Linked DNA regions of Coturnix japonica. The protein of the gene in region 3 interacts with the protein of the main gene of each other region in a pairwise test. Links are inferred from orthologs where the notes say so. Each region holds a gene or a part of one and is shown on either strand. Other genes may lie near its edges.

The links.
Region 1: the proteins of UBQLN1 (region 3) and ubiquitin-conjugating enzyme E2 variant 1 interact in binary tests that used the Homo sapiens proteins (3 or more experiments, as listed by UniProt). The link is inferred for Coturnix japonica from reciprocal best matches to the Homo sapiens genes UBQLN1 and UBE2V1.
Region 2: the proteins of UBQLN1 (region 3) and RIC8A interact in binary tests that used the Homo sapiens proteins (3 or more experiments, as listed by UniProt). The link is inferred for Coturnix japonica from reciprocal best matches to the Homo sapiens genes UBQLN1 and RIC8A.

Annotation. Positions count from the first base shown.
Region 1 is NC_029535.1:12,304,236-12,307,884, reverse strand, and holds part of ubiquitin-conjugating enzyme E2 variant 1, read right to left. Parts: intron 2,034-3,649; coding exon 1,908-2,033; intron 1,543-1,907; coding exon 1,396-1,542; 3' UTR 1-1,395. UniProt on the Homo sapiens protein: Has no ubiquitin ligase activity on its own. The UBE2V1-UBE2N heterodimer catalyzes the synthesis of non-canonical poly-ubiquitin chains that are linked through Lys-63.
Region 2 is NC_029520.1:1,400,445-1,404,187, forward strand, and holds the start of RIC8A (synembryn-A), read right to left. Parts: upstream 2,936-3,743; 5' UTR 2,820-2,935; intron 2,802-2,819; exon of another isoform or gene 2,711-2,801; intron 2,614-2,710; 5' UTR 2,515-2,613; coding exon 2,431-2,514; intron 217-2,430; coding exon 169-216; intron 1-168. Other genes in the region: BET1L (BET1-like protein), read left to right, coding at 2,955-2,973, 3,115-3,206, 3,551-3,607.
Region 3 is NC_029547.1:36,156,621-36,160,369, forward strand, and holds the start of UBQLN1 (ubiquilin-1), read right to left. Parts: upstream 2,537-3,749; coding exon 2,378-2,536; intron 1-2,377. UniProt on the Homo sapiens protein: Plays an important role in the regulation of different protein degradation mechanisms and pathways including ubiquitin-proteasome system (UPS), autophagy and endoplasmic reticulum-associated protein degradation (ERAD) pathway.

The DNA.
Region 1 (3,649 bases), on a different chromosome or scaffold from region 3:
TTTCTTTTTCTTTTTTTCTTTTTTTACACAAACACTTGATCTTTTCATAAAATTCCAGACACACTAGGTTGGCTGCATGTAAGCTTGCATCCACACTGCAGTTAGTGGTCCAACAGTAAAACAGAAAAGGCAGCAATTTGCCAGGATGCAAAGCCAATACTGGTCCTCACTCTGCACCACTTCCCCGGATCTTCACCAGGGCGTTTCCTCTTCCAAGACTCAGAGAATCCTGATGGAATCTACGCTGACTCAATTTGTCTGTCAGACCCTCAGAAGCGCCAACCTGGGTGCTGCACTCAGTTAGTCAACATTCCCGGGTCATTCCAAAGCACCAGAAATACAGCTACTCAGATTGGAGTGTGTGTTTTGAACCTACGTGCAGCCTGGCAGCAGATTTTGGTCATCCTGGTATATTACTGCTCTTTTCATCATGTCAAAAGCCTATCTAACATCAGCCGCAGCCAGCTGGGTGGTGTGGCAGCAGAGCCAGAGGGACAGGGAACATCCACGTTTGCGATCAGAATGGATACTCTTGATTCCCAGGCTGGTGAAGACTATATTTGTTGCAAAACCAAAACGATAAGCAGGAGGGAATAGGTCAAGTTATTGCCCCAGTGCTTACCCCTGCCATCCAAGGGTGAGAAGAGACATAGAGAGGGGCAAAAAGAAAGCAGCATCCCTGCTAAAAAGAGGGGAAGAGGGAAGAGATTAAAAGAACCCCGAATCTCTCACCCAATGCTCACATTACTGGTGAGGGAGATCAGGAAGAGGAATACAATCTATGCCTTGGCCAGAGGAAAGGAGGAAAGCTCGCCCCAGATTACCATGGCATGAAAAAAAAATATAAAACCAAAAAAGACTACAGTCACATTCAGCCTTTACTAGAGATAGCACAAAGGGAGGGATGACGGAGGTTAGCACACATCCCCATTAGTAGTCCATAAAGCCCAGTGTCGTACTGGAAAGAAAACCTTTGTGCCTATTCTAATAAACAGCCCTGAGCTTCAACTCTATTGCAAAAGACAGAAAAAGAAAATAAACAACAAAACAATCCTGGCCAGACACACAGCAAGGTGATTGTGGGATGTATGCTTCACAGTTAAGTTAGATGTGCCACACTGGTCTTGACAGTAATAAATTTAAATCAACTCTTCCTGATACCAGAAGTTCAGCTATGTGGACAGTGGTTACACAACAGGATTATTTGTTATAGCACAACTTATATTTCAAATGAAAAAAAAATTAGTATCATTTACAGTATCTCAAGAAAAATCTCCTCTGAATGGGAACTTCCTTTCCAGTATTTTGAGGTCTACAAGATGCATCTAGAAAATTTACTACTGTGGAAAATGAAGACAGCTTAAATTGAATAAGGGGGCATGATTATTTTTTTAATTAATTGCTGTAACATTGTCCTTCAGGTGGCTGAGGAAGTTTCATATTTTCTTTAGACATCATTAGACGCCGAAGCTCTTGCAGAACAACTTTGATGCTAAAAGAATTCTGCCATTTTGCTAGGACTGATATGGCTCTGGGGTCCACCTAGAACAGACAAAAACACCATTCCTGTCACAATCAGAACTGTCAATAACTCCCACACACACCCTCCAGCCAAAGATCTTTTAAGAAGTCTCAGTGGAAGAAACCAAAGAAGGCAAAAGCAAGCAGGTGGCTTTCCTGAAAGCATGATTAATCCATGCAGAACTATTTGCAAGCTGCAAATGTACAAGAAAAGTACATTTTGATTCCAGAATTCTCTCAGTTTGTACAGTTCCCTCCTACTCCCCTCTTCTACTCCAAGAAATGGTACGAGCAAACAAAAAGTACTAAAGCAAACTGCAAATAAAAAGCATTCATTAGAAGCTGCACGTGAAAACCATGTAAAATAGTAAAAAACAAAAACTTACCATTCCATTGGAATTATTTATTCCATTCATATTAATTTTAGTTACAAATCTAACTGTAGGAGGTGCTTCTGGATATTTAGGTCCACACTCTACTTTCAGACTGTATATTCTGTTTTCATAAATTGTCTGGGGGAAAAAAAAGCAGGAAGGGGGAACAATTATATCAGGCAGTTCAACAAACACTTGGTTAAAACAGTGGTTATTTCAGGAACACAAACCACTAAACAGAAGGTCAGCTGCTTCCATTCTGTGCTGCCTCCCCCTGTTTTGGGTTCATTTTACAATATTTGAGCACTAAATGCTGCTCTTCTGCATATTAAATTCTACTATTTTTTTAAGCACACATTGAATTTTCACATAAAGAATGAAGTTGGCATTGCTTCCTGTTCACTCCCTGAAAAAGTTTTTCTTATCACCATATAGTTTAGTTTTCTGCTCTTCAACCAATCTTTATAAATCAGTTCTGTTTTTATCAATTCACTAATCACAGGCATGATCTTGAAATCAAAGCTATAGCTTTAGTGTAGAGAGCCATCTGAAGTTGGCTGGTCCTAAAGCTTCACTTAAAAACTTTCTTTGGTCAATCGTCAACCCAATGCATGAGCTCCCTGAAAAGTGAATGCTCCAAAATCTAGTACATTTAAAGTACACAGGTTGCTCCGAAAGTAATGTCTCCTATTTATTTCCACAGAATCTACCACAGATACACAGAGCACAATAACATTATTTGATAGAGCAAATTCTCAGCTATAAAACATTGTTTTTCAACACAGTCACCACCATTAGCTGATTCATGCAGATGAGCTGATCAAGGCACTCTTCATCTTGTTGTATGACAGCTGTGCAAGGTCACCTGGAACACGGCTTGTCCTTCACGCTGCTATTGACAATGCAGAAAGGCACCAGCATGACTGCACCAATATCCACTGCCTGGTCTCCATATAGGTTCAGCAATCATCAATGAATGTCAATGGGTGCCATTTTTTCTGTTCTGCCCCTTTGTTCCATACTTCTATGTCAGACACCACTCTGTCAGGCTGCCCCTCTGCTGCCAGCTGTCACACAGCAACAAAATGGAACAGGACATTGGTGGGAAGGTTCAGCCCCTACTGCCACACCAGCAACATCCGCCTCTGACATCACAGGCCAACATCATAAAACAGGAGGCATTACTTTTGGAGCAACCCTTCTACATCCTGATTCCAAACAGCAACAACATTGTTCCAGAGACTGGGGGACAGTTACCTGACTCAGCCTGGACTGTCCCAGTCTCCTAACAGAACCATGTGAGCTCTATGCACAGAGCAATTAACACACCAAAGTCTGCAGCTTTTTATGGCCCTTGCATATAACCACATCGCATTAAGACTAGTGAACAGAAAGTCTTCACCATGCACAGGCCTAGAGCCAGACCAAGTCAAAGTTCTGACAGCACCCCTGTTATTGAATAGCTTGTATAAGCAAGAGGAATGACTGGTTGCAAAACCATCTGCACTGAGCCTGGGGAGGAGCAGTATGCTTCCATGTAAGGTAGCAGGGACAGCCCAGAGCAGCAGCCTGGACCCAGCTCAGCACAGCAGTTCATTTTCCCTGCAGTACACCCAGCACCAGATTCCTCCACCTGCCACAAGCGCGACTGTTTTCTGCTCAGAGGAAAACAGGATTTTTTGACTTTTTCCCAAAGTCAGCATTTCTCACATTCTATTAAAAAAAAAAAAAAAAAAAGGTAATAACATGACTGT
Region 2 (3,743 bases), on a different chromosome or scaffold from region 3:
CACACACACACACACACACACACACAGGATCATGCTTCTCATGCATGCTGCTGAAGCCATATGCATCACCAAACCCAAAGGGATTGCTAATGTTGGAAGAATACTGATTTTTATCCCCAGCCACCATCTACAGGACAACAAGAACAAGAAGCCAAAGAGCACGCCTACCTTCCTCTCCTCCCGTTCCTCATCATCAAAGGTAAAGCATTGAGATTTCTGTAGAGCAGAAAAGAAAGTATGAGTTTAAAAATCCACAAATCTGCCTTTCCCAAACAGGGAATAAGCTTGGAAAGCAACTCTGAAAAGCACTCTATAAAGACAAGTAAGCCTTCTCAAGAAGTCTTTACCAGCACAGGGAATCAAAGAGGCAAAGAGTGTTAAAAAACCTATGAATACTGCACACCTCTTTAACAAACAGCATAGGTAGGAGCCAGACACAAGGACAGTTTTTCCTGTTGCTGAGAGCTTTGCTTCATTATTGTCTTCTCTGTTCAACACTGTTTGTATCCAGCAACTTCAGCTACATTTTAACAAGCAGGGAACGAACCTCATTTGAAAAGCCCAGATACAGCCCATGCTGCCAAGTCAGAATTGTTTTCCTTCTCTTTCATGCCTGAAAAACATTCGATGAACACCCCATACTCTCTTCTGCTGGCTCAGTGGTGGACACCACATGTCACAGGCCAAAGCTGTGCCCATCTGATGGACCAGCTTAATTTTATATACTGCAGCTGTGAGGTGGGTATTCAATACATTCCAAATATCCCATAACTCATAGTATAGTTTGGGTCTTAAGGGACCTTAAAGATCATCTGAATTCCAACCCCTTGCCATGGGCATGAACACCACAAGCTCAGGTTGTCCAAAACCCCATTCAGCCTGGCCTGGTATCCACAGCTTCCCTGGGTAAACTTGATTACGCTTAATGACTCTACCAAGCTATGTGTACGCTCTTCTCCCCTTTGTTATTGTTTCTTTTCCTTCCTAATAGAAAGCATCACTTCCTTGCTACTTGCAAACAAATCCTTATGTTCTTCCTACAGCATCCTGAAGTAGGACTGTTATTCAGCTCACGTTCTTCACACACAGCCAATTAAAACAGGTGAACGCTCCACTCTATGCAGAACGGAGCTTTCCCTTGCATCTGTGAACCTTCTCATGTCAGTCAGAACGTTAGTCAGACTGACCTCGTGCACAAAGGCATTTCCAGAGCTTCTTTGCAGGCTCCTGTAATCTCATTCACAAATATTTCCATAACACACCTGTGGGTTTGGCTTTAGCTGTATTCTATTCCCGACAACCAGGAACTGACTGCATATTTAATAGTGAATTAAATATATATATATACCTAGAGAAGAATATAACAGCACCTGCTTTTGTAGTAAAAAAAACTATGCAAGGAAGTCGGTTGGCTTATAATCAGTTTAATCTCTTCAGCTCATTTCTCCCAGACAAGCTAGCAAAATGACTGACATCCTCACAAGTTTCCTATGCTCTACACGCTGACAAAGAAACCAGCTGGAGGAATTCAAAGCATTGGATTTAGTGCCTCAACACGGTTGCACAACAAATGCCATTTACTATCCTAATTTCTCCAGCACACCAGCTGCTGCCAGCAACGCTAATCCTGCAGACCAACCTTTTAAAAGGGACCTGCTGTTTCAAAACCGACTGCTGGAAACAGTTAGTGCAGGAAGGGAAGTGCACATGCTTGTAAGATAAGCACAGGTTTTCCCCACCAGCTTCCCTCCTACTTCAGAATGGTGCAGAATGAGTCACAGATCTGCAGGGCCAGCCCTAGCCTGGTGGAAACCCTCTGAAGGAAATTTCCCTGGCAGACAGTTTCAAAAGGGAACTACCCCTGCAGATGATCTAAGGTTAGAGTCACTCGCACTTCAGCTTCCTGACCCGGTCTTTTTCATGTTCTACACTCATTATTTCATGCGCCAGCTTTCAGATCAGGCACCCTAATCCAATCCCAGCATCCATTCACACCAACTCCTAATTGTCTTTTGCTTACAAATCACAACAATCCTACCTGCAGCTCCTCCCTAGGTGTGAGTTTTATTACCTCCAAACCTTGCCTAGCATCAAGGCTCCTCCTACTCCTCATGCCCATGATTATTCCCCTACCGGGTTTAACTTGCAATCTGGATAATAAAGAAAATCCTTCCCATGTACTTTTCTTCCAGCATAAACAAGATAAAGGGAGGCTTCTTAGCTGCTTCCTAGTAAAGCATCATTAAGAAGCAGCTTGCAAGTAACAAAACAAAGCAGTCTATGACATCTCCAGGGCAATAATGCAGAGACAGATGCTCAGAGGAGATGGGATAGCTGGGCAGCACTGTGAACCCATAACACGGCCCAACCTGCTTCCAGGCTTGCTGACAGCAGCAGGTGACATCAGGCTGAGGTGTGATGCTCACTCACCTCCTGGTTGTAGATCTGAAGCACCTTGAGGACCGCGTCTTGCTCCCCGCTTTCCACCGTGGCCACTACGGTCCTGAGCTCCATGATACCAACAGCTCAGCTACAGCAGGATGGGAAGCAGAGAGGAAAGGCTTCCAGAGCTCCTGGATAACAGCGGTGCAAAGGGACCTCGATCCTTGAGAACTGAGAGGCAGTGAGAAAGGGGGTGGGGAAAAAGAAACAAAAATCAAGCGAGCCGGCTCACTGCTGCGTCCATAAAGCAGACGGGTGAACCACGTACAGCCTCTCTGCCCCTCTAATCCTCTTCTTTCCTCTTTGCTTTCCGACGTTTAATGCATGCCCTCCCAGCACAGCGCTGGGACACCCCCCCCTCCCCACCCGAGGATTACCGCAGCAGATCACGGTGCTTCCCGTAATAGCTCCCCGCTCCTCACTACCCAACAGGGAAGGCGAAGGCCCAGCGGCCATTTTACAGAGGCGGAGCTCCTCCTGCCGGGCGGAGCCGCCTTTCGCCGTGTGCCGCCATGGCGGACTGGGGGCGAGGTGAGGGGGAAGGAGTGAGGGGCGCGCTGAGGGGCTGCTAAAGGGGGCGCCCCGCCGCCATCTTGGGGCACCCCGCCGCCATCTTGGGGATGTGCCATGCTCCCCAGTCGGGATGATGAGACGCGTTTCTTTTCTCCTCAGGACAGAATGCGGTTGCTATGGAGGATATGCTGGACGTGGAGAACAAGCGCATGACAGACAACCTGGCCAGCAAAGTCACCAGGCTGAAGTCGGTGAGTTGCTGGCGCTGCTATGGACGCTTGCAGGGTCTCAGGGACAACGCAGTTGTGTGGGCTTCCTCAGTGCTGTGGGCATACGATGGCTGACGTGTAGCAGTAGGAGGCAGTGCTGGTCCGTCAGCTGTTGTCATATGTCCAACATAGGGAAGTTTCTGCCAGCTTTCCCAGATTATTTCCACAGCAAAAGGATTCCCACAACCCCAAACTGCAGTGAGTGAGAGGCCTTGTTTTGTGGCTGTGCTTAACAAACCTCCACCACATCCTCTAGTGTGGGCCTAGATGCGTTCCAGGTTGTCTTGGTGTTCATTAACGTCAATTTCCTCTCTTATGCTGTGTAGCTGGCTCTGGATATTGATAAAGATGCTGATGAACAGAACCGTTACCTGGATAGCATGGTAAGGAACCAAAAAAGAAGGGTAAAAAGCATGAATTTCAATGTTGGGACCAGTTTGGTCAAAGGTGGGAGCTTGGAAGCTTAATAGCTTGGAACCTTAATAGCAGTGTATGGCCTTGGAGTATCTGAACTGGATA
Region 3 (3,749 bases):
AAGATAAGTGGACAACAATTAAATTTCAAGCAGCATCTTCTATTAACTACTTAAAATCATATGTCTTCTTTTAGTAAAGTGTGCTTGCTAGCTTATTTAGACATTTGCTTTTAAGACAACTGATCACAAAACAACCTGGCATCCCAACTGGCCTTCATATTTAAAAAAAAAAAAAAATCCTGCTAAAGATAAATTTGTAAATATAAATTTCACCTTAAGTAAATTTGTTTACACCTCCTTAAGTATCCAAATAATTTGCAATTACATTGTTTTTGGTGATAGATACTTTCCTCCTGTTAGATCTGGAATATGAATCTCCAAAAAAATTAAAAAAGACCCCATAAAGAACTTTCCAGTAACTTTATAACAGTGCTGATGTTGCTTAGAAGAGGAAAAAAAGTACCCCCTTCTGACAGATTTCTGCAAACATTAAAAGCAAACGCTGCCATTTCACCTTTGGGAGAAATGCCTAGATTAAGTTTGCAGATAGAGTAGCAGGTAGGATGCTGCAAAAAGCCCAAAGACAGAAGAGTATCACTTCCCCAGCAGCTGGAGAGAGGACCTCAATTAAGCTTATTTCTGGGATGCTTATAAGCAAAATAATGAGAAAAACTTGAAAGAAATACCAGCATCTTGTCGCCTCACAGCAACTAGGTAGAACAAAGATTTAAATTCTAGCCCAGTTGCTGGTACTACACTCAGGGCTTTTACTTCACCTCTTGTATTCCCCTTTGATAACCACATAGCATCTTCTGGTTTAACCATAAGAAATGATATCAAGCTTTGCATTTTGACAACAGTGGTGACACCTGGAGATAAATTCAGAGCCTTCAGCAACTAATTCAAACTCCTTGGCAAACTGACATTCAGTTTAGGAAAGGCTGTGTTTCCCAGATAAGCAGGACATCTGAAGCCTAAAAGCAGAGTCTCATCCCACAAGCTTTGAGGAGCTAAGCTGTACGCTGCTGGGTTTGATAATACAGGCACCATAATAAGGTCGATGTGCTAATGAGAAACTTAAATAGCCAAGACTCTCAAAAACAGGTTTTGGACTAAATACAGGCCTGGCCCACACCACCTCTGGCATGGGCAACACCTCCCAGTGGAACCTGACAACCACCAAAGATTCCCTAGAAAGAACCCTATATTAACTCATCACATGTGTGGCACTACATTTTAATATATAAAGCAATTCTAAGAATAAACCATCACTTCAGTGGAAATAGTATGTATACTTACATGTTGAAGTGTACGAGATCTGTTACTTTACATCCTAGGTATGCATGCTAGGAAAATCAACCAACCATACACCCAGAGCTAAAATAAAATAATGTCAGCTTTGTAACCTGTCACTCAGGTTGTCAACTTTCATGGCTGGATTTCTGTGGCAGCAGAGCTCACATACATGCCCATGTTTTACTTTGCAGTTACAAGTCACATGCAAGAAGGGGGAAAAAAAAAAAGAATTCAAACTGAGGCACCTCATCCAAAGATACTTTAAAGAACATTTCAGATAAATCATATGGACAAAGTAAGCTCTGAATCCCCTCCAAGTAACTGCATCTTTTGGAGTATCTTAGCAAAACAGTATCCATCTCCTTCACAAACAGAAGGCTGATTTTACAGACTCTACCTTAGGCTTTGATTGTAGTTCCTCTATGGTTGGTTGCCCTCTAACTCAAATAAAAGCCCCCATCAACACCTGCACAGAAAACTTCCACAAAAAAACATTACAGGAGCATTACAGGAAATCGAGATGATGATTCACTACTTCTTTCAAACCGAAGGTACCAGGGTTGGGGTGGAGGGGGCACAGGCTTTCATAAGAAAAGTGCAGCTGAAGTTGCACTTTATTTACACTGCAAATTCTATAATCTCTCGAAAAAGACAACTTCCCTAAAATTCTGATGCTCGCCGTGGCGTTCTCAGTTGTTTGGGTTTTTTTTTTGTTTGTTTGGGTTTTTTTTGGTAGTGTTGTTTTTTTAGAGCACATTTTATCCAGATAACGACCGGCCCCACAACGCTCTCAGCAAGGTGATTGCGCACGCTCTCCGCAGCCTCACCGGCAAGCAAGCTGCCGCCTCCCGCTGCCAGCCTGAGTCAGCCGGGCCGGGCAACGCAACAAGAGCCGGGCCGGGCCTCCTCCCGAGCCGACACACAACCGCGGGTAGCGAGAGGTCGGGGGGGGGATGCGGCCGCCCCGCCGGGAGCGGACCACGACCGAGCCCCGCCGCTCTCCGGCCCGGCCCCGCGGAGCTCGGGCAGGCAGCAGTCGCTTCGTCACGGGCACGGGCCCCAGCCCTGCAGCGTGAGGCCGCGGAGCGCGGCAGAGCTCGGCCGGCAGGCCGCGTTTCCCTCGCTCCTCGCCGCCCCTCACCTGCCGGATGCTGCTGGTTTCGGCAACAGAGAACTCCTCTTTCTCTTTGGGAGTCTTCACCGTGACTCTGATAATGCGCGGTTCGTCGGCAGCTGAGCCCTGAGCAGGAGTCTCCGGGGGACTGCGGCGCCCCGCGGGGCTGTCTGTGCTGTCTGACATCGTGAGCGGGGCCGGGCCGGCACCTAACGCCCGTCAGCTCGGAACAAGCACAACACTCCCTACTCTCACCTCACCCCCCAACGGGCTCTGCCCGCTCCCGTAGCGCCGGGCGGAAATACCCGTCCTGGCCGCGGCGCGCATTGATGACGCAGCTCTTCGGGGAAGTTACTAGAAAGGGGCGCTGCCTGCCCGGGTGGGGGCTGGATGCACGGCGTCTATTGCGCGCATGCGCCACGCTCGCGTAGGCGCAGTTAGTCTCGCGTACGCCGCCAACTGCGGGGCGGGGCGGGGCGGTCTGGTCTGAGTTTGGTCTTTCAGTTTGTTGCTCTGCGCTGTTGTACGGCAATAATGTCGAACGTGTACTGTTCTGGAAGCGGGATTCCTGAGGCACTGCTCCATAGACGGGTTGCACGTTGCTCTGAATTTTGGACCAAGTGCACTTAATCGCTAATTAATTCTAGCGTCACCAAGTCAGGCTCTACCTAGTGATATTCGTAAATTAAAGATTCGAATTTCTCTTTTAAGCATGAAACACAATCATGGATTTCCGTAGGACACCGAGTGCCTGCTCCTCCTCATCCTTCATTAACAGCTCGGTTTCCCAGAGGACGCTGTGCAGCGGAGGAGCTGCTGTCTTGCTGTGGTGTGAGGATAATCTCATGTGTAGGAACTCAGTGTAAATCATGTTGGCTGGTAACACCACAGAGCTGCCTCCAGTCCTCTAAAACTATTGTGCAATCCATTTAAAACCTGTCAACAGGTTTTAAAACAGGGATACCAAAAGCTGGCGGAAGGCCCATTGAAGTTCTGGTTGGCCTAGAGAATTGGTGTGTTAAGGAAAAAAAATGCTTTCAGGTATATTTAATCTCTGAGCCTTTTTTTTGTCACACTCATTCCTTTTCCCGTGTTAGTTGTGACCCTACACAGCACTGAACTGTGGTGCAGCAGGGCGCTTTGACACAGAATGGTGGTAGAATGAGGGCCGCAGTGAGTCAGGTAGTGCTTTGCTCAACCAAGCAGTGGTTTCAAGCAGCAATCAATTGGATCAAAGTGCAAGGGCTTTTGCAACCAGGGCTACTCTTAGTTTACAACAGCTCATGCTGACTGTATGGCTACTTGAGTACAGTTTGTACCAAAATAGCACAACTGCTATCCATTAGGCTAGAAGAGATTTACAGTTTAGATTATTAGGCATCTGTGGTATTCAGTGAGA